2 linked regions of the Styela clava genome follow. The protein of the gene in region 1 purifies or fractionates together with the protein of each later gene. This does not show direct contact. Links are inferred from orthologs where the notes say so. Each region holds a gene or a part of one and is shown on either strand. Other genes may lie near its edges.

Region 1 (7,948 bases):
ACCTGGTTTTGCTGTAGGAGGTCCTGGCATTATTGATGGAGATTGCGATGGAAGGGGTGGAGGTCCTGATGGCATAGTTGGTAGGGTGTTTGGTCTTGGTGGAGCACGCTTCTTTACTGGTCCACTAGAAGGTCGGGGTGGTGCTGATACTTTCTTGGTTAACTCTGGATTTGGTGGCATGTAGCTGTAAGAATAATGTTCGCTTTCAAAAGCCCACCCAGGGTCATTTACATCTTCCATGACCTCCTTGTTTGATTCATTAATTGTATCAGTGGCTTCCGAAACAGGAATATCATATAATTGCGTACTTGTTTGATGATATGTATTATATTCATACCTTGGTGATTCAGAACTGTCTTCTTCATGTTCCGCATCATTATGGTACACATCATAATTATATTGACACGGTTCCCCCTCGTTTGCATATTTTTCAGCATATGATTCATTAGCAGAAAATGAATGTGAATGTTGTCGAAGTTCATGTTCAACATCTTCCTCCCAACCTCTACTTTTTAATGTGACATAAATCAATGTTCCATCAACAGAAGTTTCATTCAAGTCTGTGGCTCTAACTGCTGCTGTACCATCACTGAAAATAACCATCAGTTTCCCCTTGAAGTGTCGGGTGATGATAACTTCACCAATTTCGTTCAGCCTTGACATGATTGCTTCAAATAGTTCACCAGACAGTGGAATGTCACCAGTATTTTCTTCTTGGGTTAATGATATCAAGATAGTTGCATCTGGAGGACCTTGGGCTTCTACAAATTTATGAAATGTTGTATTGAGATGTTCTTCATCAGACTGTATAATATCGACATCAAGTATCGCTATAACGGGACGATGATCAGAAGTTTTAATATCAGCTTTATTATAATACAGCAATTTTCCAGGATTCCATTCTGGATCTTGACTTACTGAAACTAACGATGAGCCAGAATCTTGAGTGTCCGCAAACCATTTTCTTCGAAACCACAACACACGATCAGTCCAAGCTGGTGTCCTGGATTTTTCACTAGTATCATAGTCATCGGAAAACAAATCATACTTATAGGTTGGTGCAAAGTTAGTATCTCCTTCTAAAAAACACTGGAACACTCTTCCCTCTTTCTTTTCTGTACAGAGTTGGTCATTGCTTTGCAAAGATTTCCAATCCTTTTCAACAACTAATTGTTTAACCTCATCAATTGGCATATCTATCCGATAGTTCAGATCTCCACACCAGAAAATATAATCATGACAATAGATAGATTTATTTCCAGAGAAAACCATCTTCTTGGATATTTCAGCAAAATCATTATTTCGATCCTGTACTTGTCCTTGTCCAGCAGCTAGATGAGAGCATACAAAACACAAAGATGAGTTATGAAACTGCATTCGTATACCAATTCCTCCTTTGTTTCCAGTTGCACCCCCCAATCCAGTTTTTACAGTTCCAATTTCAACATCTCTAATATGAGGTGTATGATGCGGACGAACAAACACATAAAAGCACACACCAACAAGCTGTTCTGAAGCAAGAAGGACATACTTGTACTTGTTAGATATTGTCTTCTGCAATTCTATTCCCCAGGTATGTTGATTAGTATGGCTTGTATTTACAATGTTCCCAGCACTGAGTTCAACCATCTCTTGAAATCCAATAACATAAAAGTCCATTGCTTTATTCCAGTCAACCTCAGCATCATTATTGTCTGCAAGATTGCTAAAGGAGTCACTTGACAAACTATCTTTGAATATTTCAACATAGCTAGCTGGGAAAGTTCCTTCCAATTCATCAGGATTGTATTCATCTCTTGAAACCCTTCCCTTCCACCATTCACCTGTCATTTCAGTCACCTCAATTGTGTCGCCAGCAACAAAATCGAGATCGCCTTCCTGATGAGCTGGAAAGTCGTACAAAGCAGTATATCTTGGTAGCAATTTGGTGACATAAGCTGCAGGAAATATTCCATTACATCCATTGCAGGAACCTGACATCCATTCCCCATCCTCCAAGGCATGATGCACATCAATGATATCACCTGATGCGAATGACAAATCACCTTCTTCGGCAGAGGAAAAATCATACAAGGCCTTGTAAAAATTATTGGTTGGTGACTGTTCGCATTTGATGAGCCAGTCATCTAATGTTTGATCTTTATATGCCAGTGATCGGAAATGCTTTCCACCATTTACGTTCCAGGTTCCGATGGCAACTCTAATTGGCAAGATAGATGTGTAATCTTTGAATTTATCACACATGCCTCTCAAAACCGCTGTGGGAGCACGCAAGCAATCACCAGACATTAAATTGTTTGCCCTTGCCATCAGTTCAATATCTGCTGAGTTGGTACCAAGTATGAGTAAATCAATTGCACCTTGTTTACTCTGGTCAAGAAAATTGTTTTGTATTGCACGTGTCACCGATCTTGCACCATCTTTAAATTTTGTTTTACCTTCTAAGGCTCCAGTACCAGCATACATTCGACTGATTAGATCACCAGTAATGGGCCAAGCCGTTTTGAAAGCCTCTCTGAATCTATCTTCAAGTTGCTTATTATTTCCAAGTCCCAAACTTTCCAGTTGCTTTGGTAACATCTGCATTCCAAAATACGTTTTTGTACTATTTGTACGATCCAAGCAATCAAGGCAATTAATCCTAATGACACCAGTTTGAGTGATGCGTAACTTTTCATCATCTTTATAGGTATAACATCCATAACTCTCCAGTTTGTCCCATATCTTTGTTTTCAATTTGGATAAATTTTCAGATTTTCCTCTACATTCACAATGATAATCGAAACAAAACATTGTTACTTCTTCACTGAAAGCAGACTTTTCATGGTGTAGTTGGAAAAGCCTACTCAACATGCTCTCGTCCCCTTTACTACCAAGTAAATTAACTATGAGACACTGCCCATAATTATCCACAATGCTTGAAAAATGTCTATCATATGTGGGCGCAGATGCTTCAAATCCTCTAGAAATCTTGATTTTATGGGATCCTACATTCAGGCCTGGTTGCCCCCAAAACAATGGAATAGAGCCACGAATTTGCATGAATGAAGAAACATTTTCACCAAGTATGATTGCTTGTTCACTTTCTACAAAGTTTGCAACATGACCCTCATCGTCCGCACCTCGAACATTGAATCTTGTGCCAGCACGTTCGCAACTCAAACGTGATATAACCACAGCTCTGGCTTGTTGAGCACCTACATAAACAGTTCGTATGTCAATTCCTCCACACATAACTCTGAAGAGCCACAAGGCGCAATCAGCACCAAAATGTTTGAAATGCAGGTGCAAAAGGTGATTCCAAAAGAAACGTTGGTCATCATTCTTCTTGTCTTGATCCTGGAATGAAACAGTCAAATCCAAAATTTCACTCCCATTCATTGCAGACCAAGTAAAATAAAATTTTCCAGAGCTGAGTAACTTTTTAACATCTGTGCACCTGCTATCTGCATCTACAGTACCATTTTGCAAAGAAAAAAAACTTGCTCCAGTAATGCGGAATACTTCGCAGTTGAGTAACTTTCCAACTGGCATACAAGCAGTCACAAGCACCAGGTATAAGCTGCGGGCTTTACCAGCTTTGTCATCTCCAAACATCATAACTCCAAGACATCCATATGCATCAATTGCCTTTGTATAATCCGACTTAAGTTCTTCTTTCTCCTGCGGAGTAAGAGATACGACTGTTCCTGATTCTAGTAACAGTCCATCTTCAAATTGTCGAGACTCCAAAAGCACACTGTACGGTGGTCCTAGCTTATGCAGCACACGAAAAACTCGACTCAAAGACATAGTTAAAAATTAACTACATTACAATAAATAAAACTAAAGGATAAATTGTAAAAAAAAACTTTGTGATGAAATCAAGTAAATTTTCCTTGCACCAGAGTAGGGATGGGCAATATAGAATAATTTACTATTCTAGAATACTTAAATCGAATACCGAACCCTATTCTGTTTTTATTGTTATTCAAATGTGCGAATTCTTCCGCCACATTGATGAATTACAATTTAAAAAAAGTAATCTTGTGAATGTATTACTGCCTTTGTATTTAATTGAAAAAATCCTGAGCATTGGATTTTATTTGTTACCAAACAAGCCAATGAAATGTAAGAATTTAAAAAATTATTTTTTGCCTTGAATTGTTCAAAATTTAGGTAATACCTAAATACTTACCGGTATATGTTAATTAAAATATATAGCCTAGTGCATTATACACTTCAATACTAAATTGTGAAATACAAAATATAGGTATGAAAAAATATCAAATTATTATCAATGTGAGAGCGCGGAAAACACAGGCCAGACATAGGCCACTGCAATTTATGTGACCGCAACCGGAGCCTGGTAGGGCTCGCGTTAATCAATAATGTAAAATAAACTCAACGACTCAATCAATTATAATCGAGTATGTCGGCCTGTTTATTTTTTGTGAGCAAGACTCATAAAATAACATCTACAGACAAATTATTTTTAATTGCAAAATTTTAATTTTCAGTTATCGTTATATATCTACTCAGACTTGTCGATACGTTTTGCATAATGTTCATCAATAGTTCAGGCCGAGAAATGTCTTTACCACATGTGGAAACTTTTTTAAATTATCGTTGACCAACATACAGCCCGACACCTGACCAAATGTGTGTCTATTTTGGACGACAGTAACGATTTAATCGGCGACTTGAATTTCGAAGAATATGTATTTTTCTGACGGTCAGAGCAAAGATTCATTTTCATTAATAATATGATGAATCATTACAGCATTAAATATCACGAAGTACAGTAGGGCACAGTTTGCGTCTGGTACGATGGCTGATCAATACGTCAGATCGAGCCACGCTTGTCTCGATAATAATCGGAATTAATCGTGGCCGTTATTAGACCATAATTGCGTTTCTTTGCTAAAAACTGTCAAAAATATAATCCTTTGGTAAATCTAATTATTCTCTCCCCCCTAGGAACCCAATGGTGATGTTTTCAGATTGCACTTCCTTTTACTTTATTCTTCAGTAACGGATTGCCGATATGGAGGCCCAGACTGTCTCGCAGGGTCATAACCCCCCCTTTGAAAACAATTTTTGATGCGAAATTTTTTCTACAAAAAAGCAACAGCGCCATTTAACGGTTGCGCATCATGGTTTTGCGGCCATACGATATTATTCTGTGTGTTATCACAGACCAGACTTTTTTCGTCTTTACATCATGCTATCTTTGAATTGGCGCTGATAATGATAAATAAGAAGGTGTAATCGTTGATTGCAATTCAGTAAGGCACATTTTCCCTCCTCTCCACGAAACAGACATGAAAAGAATTTAACCGCCGTTATGGGCGCTCAAAAGGAGAGAAGGGTGATCAACTAATTTAAGGACTCTCTTTTTCCGGCGCAATCACTCAAATCAATCACAGCGCATTGAAAAGAAAAATTGAATTTATTAGAGGGTAAGAATTTACCGACGGCTATCTCTAACAGGTAGAAACGATTAATGTGGAAATGTTTTCTTCCTTCCCTTTTTCACGCCCATCATATTTTTCAATTCCTAACTTTGCATAAAGCGCGTCAACATCGCAATGACAAAAAATTTACTGCAGCCTTCGATTATGACAAATTTAGGAAATAAAACATTGTTACTGGATTTTTCAGTCTTCCGAAAAAATTCCCAAAAAAAAAAAAATTATTGTCACGACGATCGTTTTGGCAGCCGACATCTCAATGATGTTGTTCAAAATGACAATACTCATTATTCGGTGTTCATTAAAATCATCGAATAACCCGATTAGAAAGTACGATTTTGCACGCCACTCTATCAAGACCATGGCACATGTAAAAAATCATTAAATGGCTATAAAAATTACCTTCATTAACATTAAATTTCAAGTAATAGTTTCACATTTCTTTAAAATTAATTTTAGCGATTTTTAATGTTTTTATTTCTAACTACAGTTGCCCACTGACTACGGATTAATGGTCGATGTTTGAAATAGGACTTGCAAAATATGCACCATACACCGCCAGGCAAAGAGAGGCGGGCTACACACGTAACGAATTTCGCTGTGAACGACGCATACCTTTCAGTTTATAAATGCATTACATCATCGTGAACTGCCCTTTTGATGCACTGTTTTGATTTCACCGTAACCCCCCGTTGAAAAATCCTGGCTGCGCCCCTGGTTCCTAGTACTAAAGCTCCTCTCACACAAATTTTTTCACAGCATTCGAACCTGCACAGGGTACTGTAATTCAGAATACAGTAATTAGAAGTGCGATGGTAGATTGGCAGGCGGGGGTCAGACCCAAACGATCCACCGAGCTTTTTTTTTGCTAATAACGTAAATCAGTTTACTACTCATACATTCATAAACACAATTAAAACATAGAATACACACGTAGACTAAGCCATATCCTATTACCTTTTTTAAATGAGGACCCATCTTGGAACATACAGTCAGGGTTGCCAGATTTCAGCGATCAAAAAAAGCCAAATCAAGACATAAAATAGCCAGAAATAGCCAAAAATTTTACTTTTACTAAATACAGAAGTACAAAAGCCCCATGATTTGTCAGATTTGAAGCCCTTGGCACAATACCGATGCTGATGTAGAGCCATCAGTTCATTTAGTGATCCGCACAAATGTCTTTTCCCATTTAAAGTTGTATTTTCGGTTGCTATCATGGCGATTTCCACTTCGGCTGGACGAAGTGTTTAAAAGTGAAAAAGATTAATTGAATGGCAGCACCAGAATCTACATTCGGCACAATCAGACAATACCGGTACAGCAGTAGACTGCAGTCGAGATCTACAGATCTAGGCTATATGAAAAAGTTAAAAAAAATATCAAAAAACCAAATAAAAAGAAATATCAAGCGAACAGCTATATTTTACAATTCAATACTGCAATATGGCCTAGCCTATACAATACAGGGTGTCGCTTCAGTACAGCAGTATGTGATATATGTACCCACATGTTTCTACCTAAACTTGTGATATACCGGTACCGTTACCTTAAAAATTTCTCCCTAGCTATCCTATATAGCTGTATACCGTACTTAACTATAGAAAAATTTTTCACTTTTTGAATTTTGAAACCATTAATTTCATTAAAAAATTATGTCAGAATGTTCACAATCCTATTTCTGTACTTGAATCCAGGAATCTGTCTGAGCGTCTGCAGAAACTGCAATTATTTCTTAATCGTTAAGGTAATAAACAAGGAAATTGATGCTCGGGAAATCCAAATTTTAAGTACCGGTAGTCTAGCTAAGCAATACAGCAATAGGCTATTGTTACACACTAAATATTGTATTTAATATGATTTTAAGAATAGACCAGTAGACACTAGAATTTGAGAATAGACGTAAAAAAGTCAAACAGAAATTCTGACGCCAAACGTGTTTGAAGAGCCAAAAATCTGAAAATGGCAAATTTAGCATTAAAAAACGTGCCTCTTAGCTCCTACAGCTGTACAGGTAGTTAATTTTAGCGTAATTAATCACATCGCTGGTGAAACTCAATTCTGATTACTGCAACTAAACTAAAGCCCTACATATGACATATTGAAAATTAAGTTATACAACTATTTTTTGGAAACAGAACTAAAAACTGACAAATAGCCTAACACACAAAACTATAAAAACGAGGCAATGTCAGAATGTTCACAACCCTACCCTACTTCTGTACTTGAATCTGTCTGAGTCTGCAGAAACAGCAATTATTTCTTATTGGTTAATCGTTAAGGTAAAAAACAAGGAAATCGATGCTCGGGGAAATCCAAATTTTAAGTAGTCTAGCTAAGCAATACAGCAATAGGCTATTGTTACACACTACTGCACTAAATATTGTATTTAATATGATTTTAAAAATAGACACTAGAATCTGAGAATAGACTTAAAAAAGTCAAAAAAAAGCCAAACGGAAATTCTGACGCCAAACGTGTTTGAAAAGAGCCAA
Region 2 (8,504 bases), on another chromosome or scaffold:
ATTAATTCCCCAAAAAGGCACAAGGTGTCGATAAGTTTGAAACAAATCTTATGGTACTATTGTTTTAAAGTAACTTAACCGTCATTACAAACCTGTTATATGCAATAAAACTATGACTAATCCACTTCCAACAACATTCAGACATTGCGTCCCCGAATCACCTCTCTGTATGAATCCACTTTTTAAACTGCACTTCCAGGCAACAATTTTCAAAGTATTTACTTTTCAGACAGTCAAACATGATTTCATACTATTAGGGTTTCCTGTAACTTGAAGATCTTTACCAGCCTGTTGAAAGCCATGAAAAAAAAAAAAATACAAAATCAAGTATGGCTCCATATACAGATATACCATGTTCCCCCCAAAATAGGACTGGGTCTTATTTCAATTTTCTTCCGAAAAATAACACTAGGGCTTATTTTCGGGGGATGTCTTATATTTTTATTTATTAAAAAACAAGATTAAAAATTACGAGATTTTCAAATATACAAACTATGAAAACTTATAACCATTTACTTATGAATAACACGTTCTTATTCAAAACAACTGCAGAACATAGATTATTATCAATCATTTAAAACGTGTAAGGGGGATAAAAAAAATCTCGCGGTATTGACTTGGTCTTATTTTATGGGGAAGGCTTATATTAAAATTATTTTTAAAATTCGTGCTAGGTCTTTTTTTCGGGTAAACACAGTAGCACTATGGCTAATGTCTCGTGTTTTTTATGTAGTACTTCCAAGCAATATTTTTTCTCTTAAATATATATTATATAAATATATTTCGATTCTTTATACTATTAAGGTTTGCTTGCACCTTCGAGATCTTTTCTAACCTGTTGGACACACAAAAGATAGGACTAATCCACTTTTCATAACAGAAATTGAGTGTGGCTCCATTTTCTATCCTGTACTTCCAGGCAAGAAATTCTCAGTTAAATGCTATTCAAACATACTCTTTTCACAAATGAGGTTTGCCTGTACCTTTAAGATCATTACTAATCTGTTAAACACACAAAAAATAAGACTAATCCACACCTCATAACAGAATTTGAGTGTGGCTCCATATTACTGAACTGCTCAAGTCTGTGGCTCCATTTTCTATCCTGTATTTCCAGGCAATAAATTCTCCGTTAAATGTGATTCAAGCGTATTCTTTTTGCTAATAAGGTTTGCCTGTACCTTCAAGATCATTACTAATCTGTTAAACACACAAAAAATAGGACGAATCCACTTCTCAAAACGAATTTGAGTGTGGCTCCATACTAATGAACTGCTCAAGTCTGTGGCTCCATTTTCTATCCTGTATTTCCAGGCAATAAATTCTCCGTTAAATGTGATCCAAGCGTATTCTTTTCACTAATAAGGTTTGCCTGTACCTTCAAGATCATTACTAACCTGTTGACACATACAAAAAATAGGACTAATCCACTTCTTAAAACGAATTTGAGTGTGGCTCCATATTACTGAACTGCTCAAGTCTGTGGCTCCATTTTCTATCCTATATTTCCAGGCAATAAATTCTCAGTTGAATGTGATTCAAGCGTTTCCTTTTCATTAATAAGGTGTGCCTGTACCTTCAAGATCATTACTAACCTGTTAAACACACAAAAAATAAGACTAATCCACTTCTCGAAACGAATTTGAGTGTGGCTCCATATTACTGAACTCAAGTCTGTGGCTCCATTTTCTATCCTATATTTCCAGGCTATAAATTCTCAGTTGAATGTGATTCAAGCGTTTCCTTTTTATTAATAAGGTTTGCCTGTACCTTCAAGATCATTACTAACCTGTTAAACACACAAAAAAATAGGTCTAATCCACTTCTTAAAACGAATTTGAGTGTGGCTCCATATTACTGAACTGCTCAAGTCTGTGGCTCCATTTTCTATCCTATATTTCCAGGCAATAAATTCTCAGTTGAATGTGATTCAAGCGTTTCCTTTTCATTAATAAGGTTTGCCTGTACCTTCAAGATCATTACTAACCTGTTGACACATACAAAAAATAAGACTAATCCACTTCTCGAAACGAATTTGAGTGTGGCTCCATATTACTGAACTCAAGTCTGTGGCTCCGTTTTCTATCCTATATTTCCAGGCAATAAATTTTCAGTTGAATGTGATTCAAGCGTTTCCTTTTCATTAATAAGGTTTGCCTGTACCTTCAAGATCATTACTAACCTCTTAAACACACAAAAAATAAGACTAATCCACTTCTCGAAACGAATTTGAGTGTGGCTCCATATTACTGAACTCAAGTCTGTGGCTCCATTTTATATCCTGTATTTCCAGGCAATAAATTCTCGGTTAAATGTGATTCAAGCGTATTCTTTCCACAAAGAGGGTTTGTCTGTACCTTCAAGATCATTACTAACCTGTTGAACACAAAAAAAATAAGACTAATCCACTTTTCATAACAGAATTTGAGTGTGGCTCCATATTCAGATATTACTGCATATCACCATGGCCTGGCCTGGCCCCAATTTCTCCGTGGCCTGGCCCCAATTTCTCCGTGGCCTGGCCCCATTTCAGTGGCCCGGCCCCAGGGCCACAAAAAAGTGATCACTCCCACTCCGGCCCTTGCCCGTACCTACTGCGGAACGATGGGCAGATAGGGCTGACGTTACAGTTAAATACTGTTTTTTTTTTTAAGATCAAAAATTTATTTATTTTCACAAAACTGTTTTGAATCCACAATGCGAAACCCTAAAATTTTTTTTTTTGAGACAAAAAACAGTAAAAGCGGTTAGTAGTAGGAGTAGCATTGTCAACTAACGAAAACTTGATTATATGATTATTATATCGTGACCTTCGAATATAGTTTTTTGGTTTTAATAAGAATATCAAATACGGTATCGCGCACGTATTCTTGCGCCACCGCTCTTTGATTTCAAAATTTATAACAAAAATTAGCCCAGTCAAAAAGTACGGGTACCGGTACAGCTAGGTATGCAGTAATGCAGGTATGTGTGCTGTTAGAAAGTGTAACAGTTTTTAGGATCGGCTCAAATCAGTATATAAGAAAATGCGAATTTTTAAATTTACTGTTCTAGGGCCATTTCGGGGGGTCTGAATCTTTCAAATATTTTTTGAATTTAGAGAACATAGGCCTAAGTGGTGAGGGGGAAATGATCACGTGATTAACGTGTTAAGAAGTGAAGAAAAACAGGCCATAATGTTATACAGTTCAGGTTGATACTGTTGCTAGACCAATAGCAGAATAGTATTGTAATTTCCGAATTAATTTGAACTAGCGCAATAGCGTAACAAGAACAGGCTATCTGCAGTATCTGAATATTGAATTATGGAATTGGATTTTAATGTACAGAAAATGTTGATTGAAAATTATATTAAACAAGTAGGCTAACTAGAATAATTAGACTTTGTAATTCTGTAATTATTTGGACAGTGAAATATTGGCTGATGAACTTGATTAGCCTATGCTGTGGGCCTGTGGCATAACTTTATTAAAATAAAACACCTAGTTTAGACAGTTAAATGCTTTACCAAAAAATGTATTCCTGAATTTGGAAGAAGTTGAGAACAATTTCTGAAGTTTACGTTTGTTATATAGAAGCTATCACTAACTTGCCCTGACTTAGTTACTGCAGGACTGCCTGGAACACAATATATATTACTGTATTAGATTAGGCAAATAAATAAAAATTTTACCGTTCCTTATTTTTTAGTAGATTGACAAAAATCTTCTGATATGGTAGACAGAGATCTACTCAATTTATTTATTATAAAAAATTTGAAAATAGATAAATTAATTAATTCTTTATATAAAATTATTGTATAATAAATGTGAATAGATAGGCATGTTTACCTGAAATAAATTTAAACAAAAGGCATGAGTTAATGCTGTTTACTTTCTTCATAGTTCTATTTATCTATTTTTGAATAATATTAACAGGAAATTATAGGCTGGGAATATTGCATAAGTCATATAAATGTTTATAAGGTATTTGCAGATGACACATCACTCATGCTTGAGTGATTGTCATCTGTAGCTGCAGGTTTGAAATTAATAGAATTAGTTCATTTCAACACATTGTAAATATAACAGCATGAATGGACAGTTATATTTCCTTTCAATGAATTATTCGAGTTATCATAGGATTTTCAAACTCATAGGCCTCTTATGAGACAAACTCATTATACTCTTCCTTCAACGCAGTTTTTGTGTGCTGGTAAATAAAGAAAAATACTAAGCTACAGAAAATGATACACCTGAAGTATGTGTACCAGGTTAGGGTTAGGACAAAACTTTGTTCAGATTTTTCACATTATAGTTCTATTATAAGTTCGGGGAGGGGGTACGATTTAGGTAGGAACTACATATTTGTTAGTCTTCATTATTTCATCCCATTACACAACTTGATGGGCCGCGGCCCATAGCCTGATGGGCCGAGGCCCGTTTCGATGGGCCGTGGCCCCGGCCCATGGGCCGTAGAAGAGTCACCACTCCCACTCCAAAGTATTGAACTAATTCACTTAGTTTGGCGGTCTGGAAACCACTGATCTAAAGGGTGTCTGTCCACTTTCAAGCAATCCATCAGAAGTGTCCACTCCTACAGTGTTTGAATGGTTGAAACCACTGATATTAGCCTTGCATGGGTATGTCCCATTTAGGCAAAACACAAAATGTAACCAGTAGTGCCTCTTTATCGTAGGTTTTACATTCAATAACCTTAGGCTATGTCAATACTATAGTATAAAGCAGCAATTCCCAAACTTTTTGTTCATGCGGCACCAAATTCTCAAGAAAAAAACTACGAAGTACTTCCATGCAAAACAAATTGCTGTTTTAGAATAAAACTCAATTTTGGGATTGTTAATGTGTATTTTATGAGTTTTAAAGTTTGTAAACATGTAGGCCTTAGGAATAAAGGCAATGTCAACAAACCAACATGACATCATAACATTTACACTTATTTATATAGCCTAATGACAGGTGTGCAGCTTCTCTGAACACATCTGCTTAAAGCGAGGTGTTATACTCGATATTTCTCTATCTATGTCTAAGTCCCTTTTGGGAACCACTGCTATAAACAATCTGTGACATCATAGTACCGTGAATCATTGATTGGTTTGTCTTTATTAAAGGTATGTTGTCAAAATCACAGAAGACTATGATTGAACTTTCACCTAAGTTCAACTTGGTAAGTCACATACACACTGACTTTTTGTCACATAATTATCAATAATAGCTCAATCTCTCTCTTCGCAGGGAACTAGGTATTTAGAATTATAACGGCACATTGTGTGTCAGTGTATTAGAATTTTTGTTTCATATCAACAGTTAATTTGTGGTTTTCACTCGGATATTTCCTATCTTGTCTCTCCTGGTTTTTCTTCATAGTGGCTTAACAAGGTTCTCAAAAGCATGATTAAACAATTTCACAAAGCGAGTCAGGTCAGTAAAACTTAATATTTTGTAATTCTGGATGGAGATGTTGCAATGCCTATTACATTGGATGCTGCAAAATTATACATGCATTACCAAATAGCCCTATATGGTATAATTTGCATAGGCATGGAAGTGGTTGACCTTTGATCAGTTTTTTTTTATTCACAGTTTTCCTAAATTTAAATAACTTAATGTGTAAGACACAATGTATACATGATTCAGACTTGTTTTAGGAGCATACTATTGTTTGTTATGTACTTTGAAAGTCATGCTGTTTTTAAGATTTTCCTCTTTTTCGGTTATACATTAGTTCTTTTTTTTCAATTACAGTCATGAGTAATTTGTTCTTTTATTTTATTTTTTTCTTGCTTCACTTCATAATAATGGTTACATTATTTTGATCTTCAATTCATGTCAATTCTCTCTTTTGTTTTGTGCATTGTGTACTCATATCATAAATAGAGATGCTTTTAACAATTCCATTATCTTGTACCAATAAATATACACTAATATCCTTAAGAAATGTTATGTCTCTATGTTGCTGTTTTTTTAAAATTATCTCAGTTCTACTTGATGATATAAATGTACAATAACCTTACTAGTAAGAGTGAGCTCTTATTGACTGTCATCATAAAAAATTTCTTGTTTCAAATAATTTTTTCAATCTGGTTTTCATTAATAATTTTGAGTTCTTTATTGATTTATTTGTCGTATAATTTACGATTGATGATTTTATTTTTTCATTCATACATTGTATGACTAAGATTTATAAAGTTCTGATGCATATAAGAGCATATTTATTAAAAATCTATTGTTAAAATTAACTTAAAATTAGTTATTTTTTACAGTATATGTCAGAGAAGATTGGAAATGAGAATGACAAAACTACAATGGATAGAGAATTTGTGGAAATGGAGAGGGTACCTAATTTTTTTACGTTTATTTACCTTGCTACCTTCCAAGTTATCCTTAACTATTGAGTATGATTGTTAAGAGTTTGCAGCTTTCACGATTCAAGGCTAAGACCTTGTAACGTAAGTTGTGATAAAATGATAATAATGCCTCATTCTCTACGAGAACTTGATGAAACAATCTATTGGTTTGGTCAATTGATTCTACTCTCGTAGTTCGTTCCTGATATTTCTTCTGTTTCATCGACAAAAGGAAGTCATCAAATTACTGACTGTTTTTATTGTGCAATGTAATGACTGTGGCACCAGTCACATGGGCTTACCTATGAAATATTCCATTTCCTTGCTCAGAAAGTTGACATAACAAGCAAAGCCATACAAGATGTGATGCTGTTTACTAAAGAATATTTACAACCCAACCCCGGATCAAGGGCTAAATTGAGCATGATGAATACAGCATCAAAGTTACAGGTAAATTTTTCCAATGTCATATTCTGTTTGAGTACCATTCATTTATGGCCAATGCCCGACTATTTATATTGATTGGGTTAAACGAATAAAACACATTTTACCTCATCAATTTCAAATTTTGTAATATTGTGACATCATATCAGTGAACATGGCGGTTTTTCATTGCTATTTTTTTAGTATTTCTGGGATATAATTCCCATCATAGGCTTCATATTGTTTACTTCATTTCAGGGGATACTTGGATGTCAGGTTAGCAATCTGAATGATAATAATGTGTTTCCATGTGGTCCCTCGGGAGTTTCTTCACATATTTTTATTGCTTTGTGCATCATTAGTTTTACTGCAAGCAGATGCCTGTAGTGACCATCTGATTTATTTTATTACCTATTAATTCATAAGTTCTGGCATATTATATTGGTTAGTATTGGTCATAGAATATTTCCAACTATGATTTAGTTCAGTGTTCATTATAATACTATGCTACCTCTTTGCCCAATTTTTTATATTGCAGCACTTGACTATGACTGGAATGTATGTTTCCTGAAAATGATGATCACAATAATTGTTTCATGGAAAGTAGAGATAAAAAGACTTCAAACTTTGCAATATGTTTTACAGGGAAAGCAAAGAGACATCAAATATCCTCAACCAGAAGGTACACTGGGCGAATGTATGCAAAAACATGGCGGTGAATTAGGAACTGATTCTCACTTTGGTAATGCTCAAACATATTCATTATTTTGCTTATTGAGTAACGTGGGTCTAACTGATTAATAATTATCCTTTGTTTTATTGTATTTTGTTGATTTATCCATACTGAGGAACACAACGATGTAACATCAAATGTAATGTACTGAATGTAATAAGTGTGATGTGTGACACTTGGCCTACCAATTTAATATTGTCAATCCGATATTAGCATATAGCAACCTCTTCAAGATTTGACATGTATGAATCACAATTACATCAGTTTCCCTTTTTAAGTTTGGAAGTGTTCATACCTCTCACTGGTGTGAATGTTTCTACAACATACAAATCATAAACCGAATAATATGTTATATTGAATTTAGTGAATTATTGATTTTAGGAATAAATAAAAGGTTTTCATATAGAAATTTGGTGCCGCCTTGGTATGCGTTAATCTCATAAAGACAGTCTCATAGAATTCAGTTTCCAACCCTGTCATCGTTGGGTTAGAGTTGGGTTAATACTAAAGTCACTAAGATCGCATAGCAAATTGGCACGAAAATTTGTTATGTTAGGCATATTACATCTGATGATCAGACAAAATATGATTGCTACTTCTGAATATTTGAATACGGAAAATTAATCAATCCAATATTTACTTCAACTAATCTACTATCCCAAAATCCAACTACTATGAATTCATAGTAATAGTGCAATTTCTGTGGATTATGAAACGATCAGAAGATATTTCATATTCAAAAATATTGTTGAATCAGAAATCCGAATGTATTCAAAATACTAAATTATTCGGTTGTGGCCATCTCTGTATGTATGTATGTTCAGAACATTTGATTGAGGCTAATATGTGAAAGCACAATGTTTTCATCAATTTATTAGAATATTGATTGAAATAATAAGTTACATTATAAATAAGATTGATTATCCCATCTTTTGTTTAATTAGATATCATTGTCTTGGTTTTAAAGTGCTACAATTTGATTTTTGTCATTGTTGACTGTTT

What was found. The genes of interacting proteins can lie anywhere in the genome.
Region 2: the proteins of synaptojanin-1-like (region 1) and endophilin-A3-like purify together in Drosophila melanogaster (affinity purification with western blotting; 3 studies listed by BioGRID). This does not show direct contact. The link is inferred for Styela clava from reciprocal best matches to the Drosophila melanogaster genes Synj and EndoA.

Annotation. Positions count from the first base shown.
Region 1 is NC_135258.1:23,400,381-23,408,328, forward strand, and holds the start of synaptojanin-1-like, read right to left. Parts: upstream 3,846-7,948; 5' UTR 3,793-3,845; coding exon 1-3,792.
Region 2 is NC_135252.1:11,289,394-11,297,897, reverse strand, and holds the start of endophilin-A3-like, read left to right. Parts: upstream 1-5,215; 5' UTR 5,216-5,390; coding exon 5,391-5,420; intron 5,421-6,262; coding exon 6,263-6,334; intron 6,335-6,676; coding exon 6,677-6,796; intron 6,797-7,414; coding exon 7,415-7,511; intron 7,512-8,504. UniProt on the Drosophila melanogaster protein: Required presynaptically at the neuromuscular junction. Implicated in synaptic vesicle endocytosis.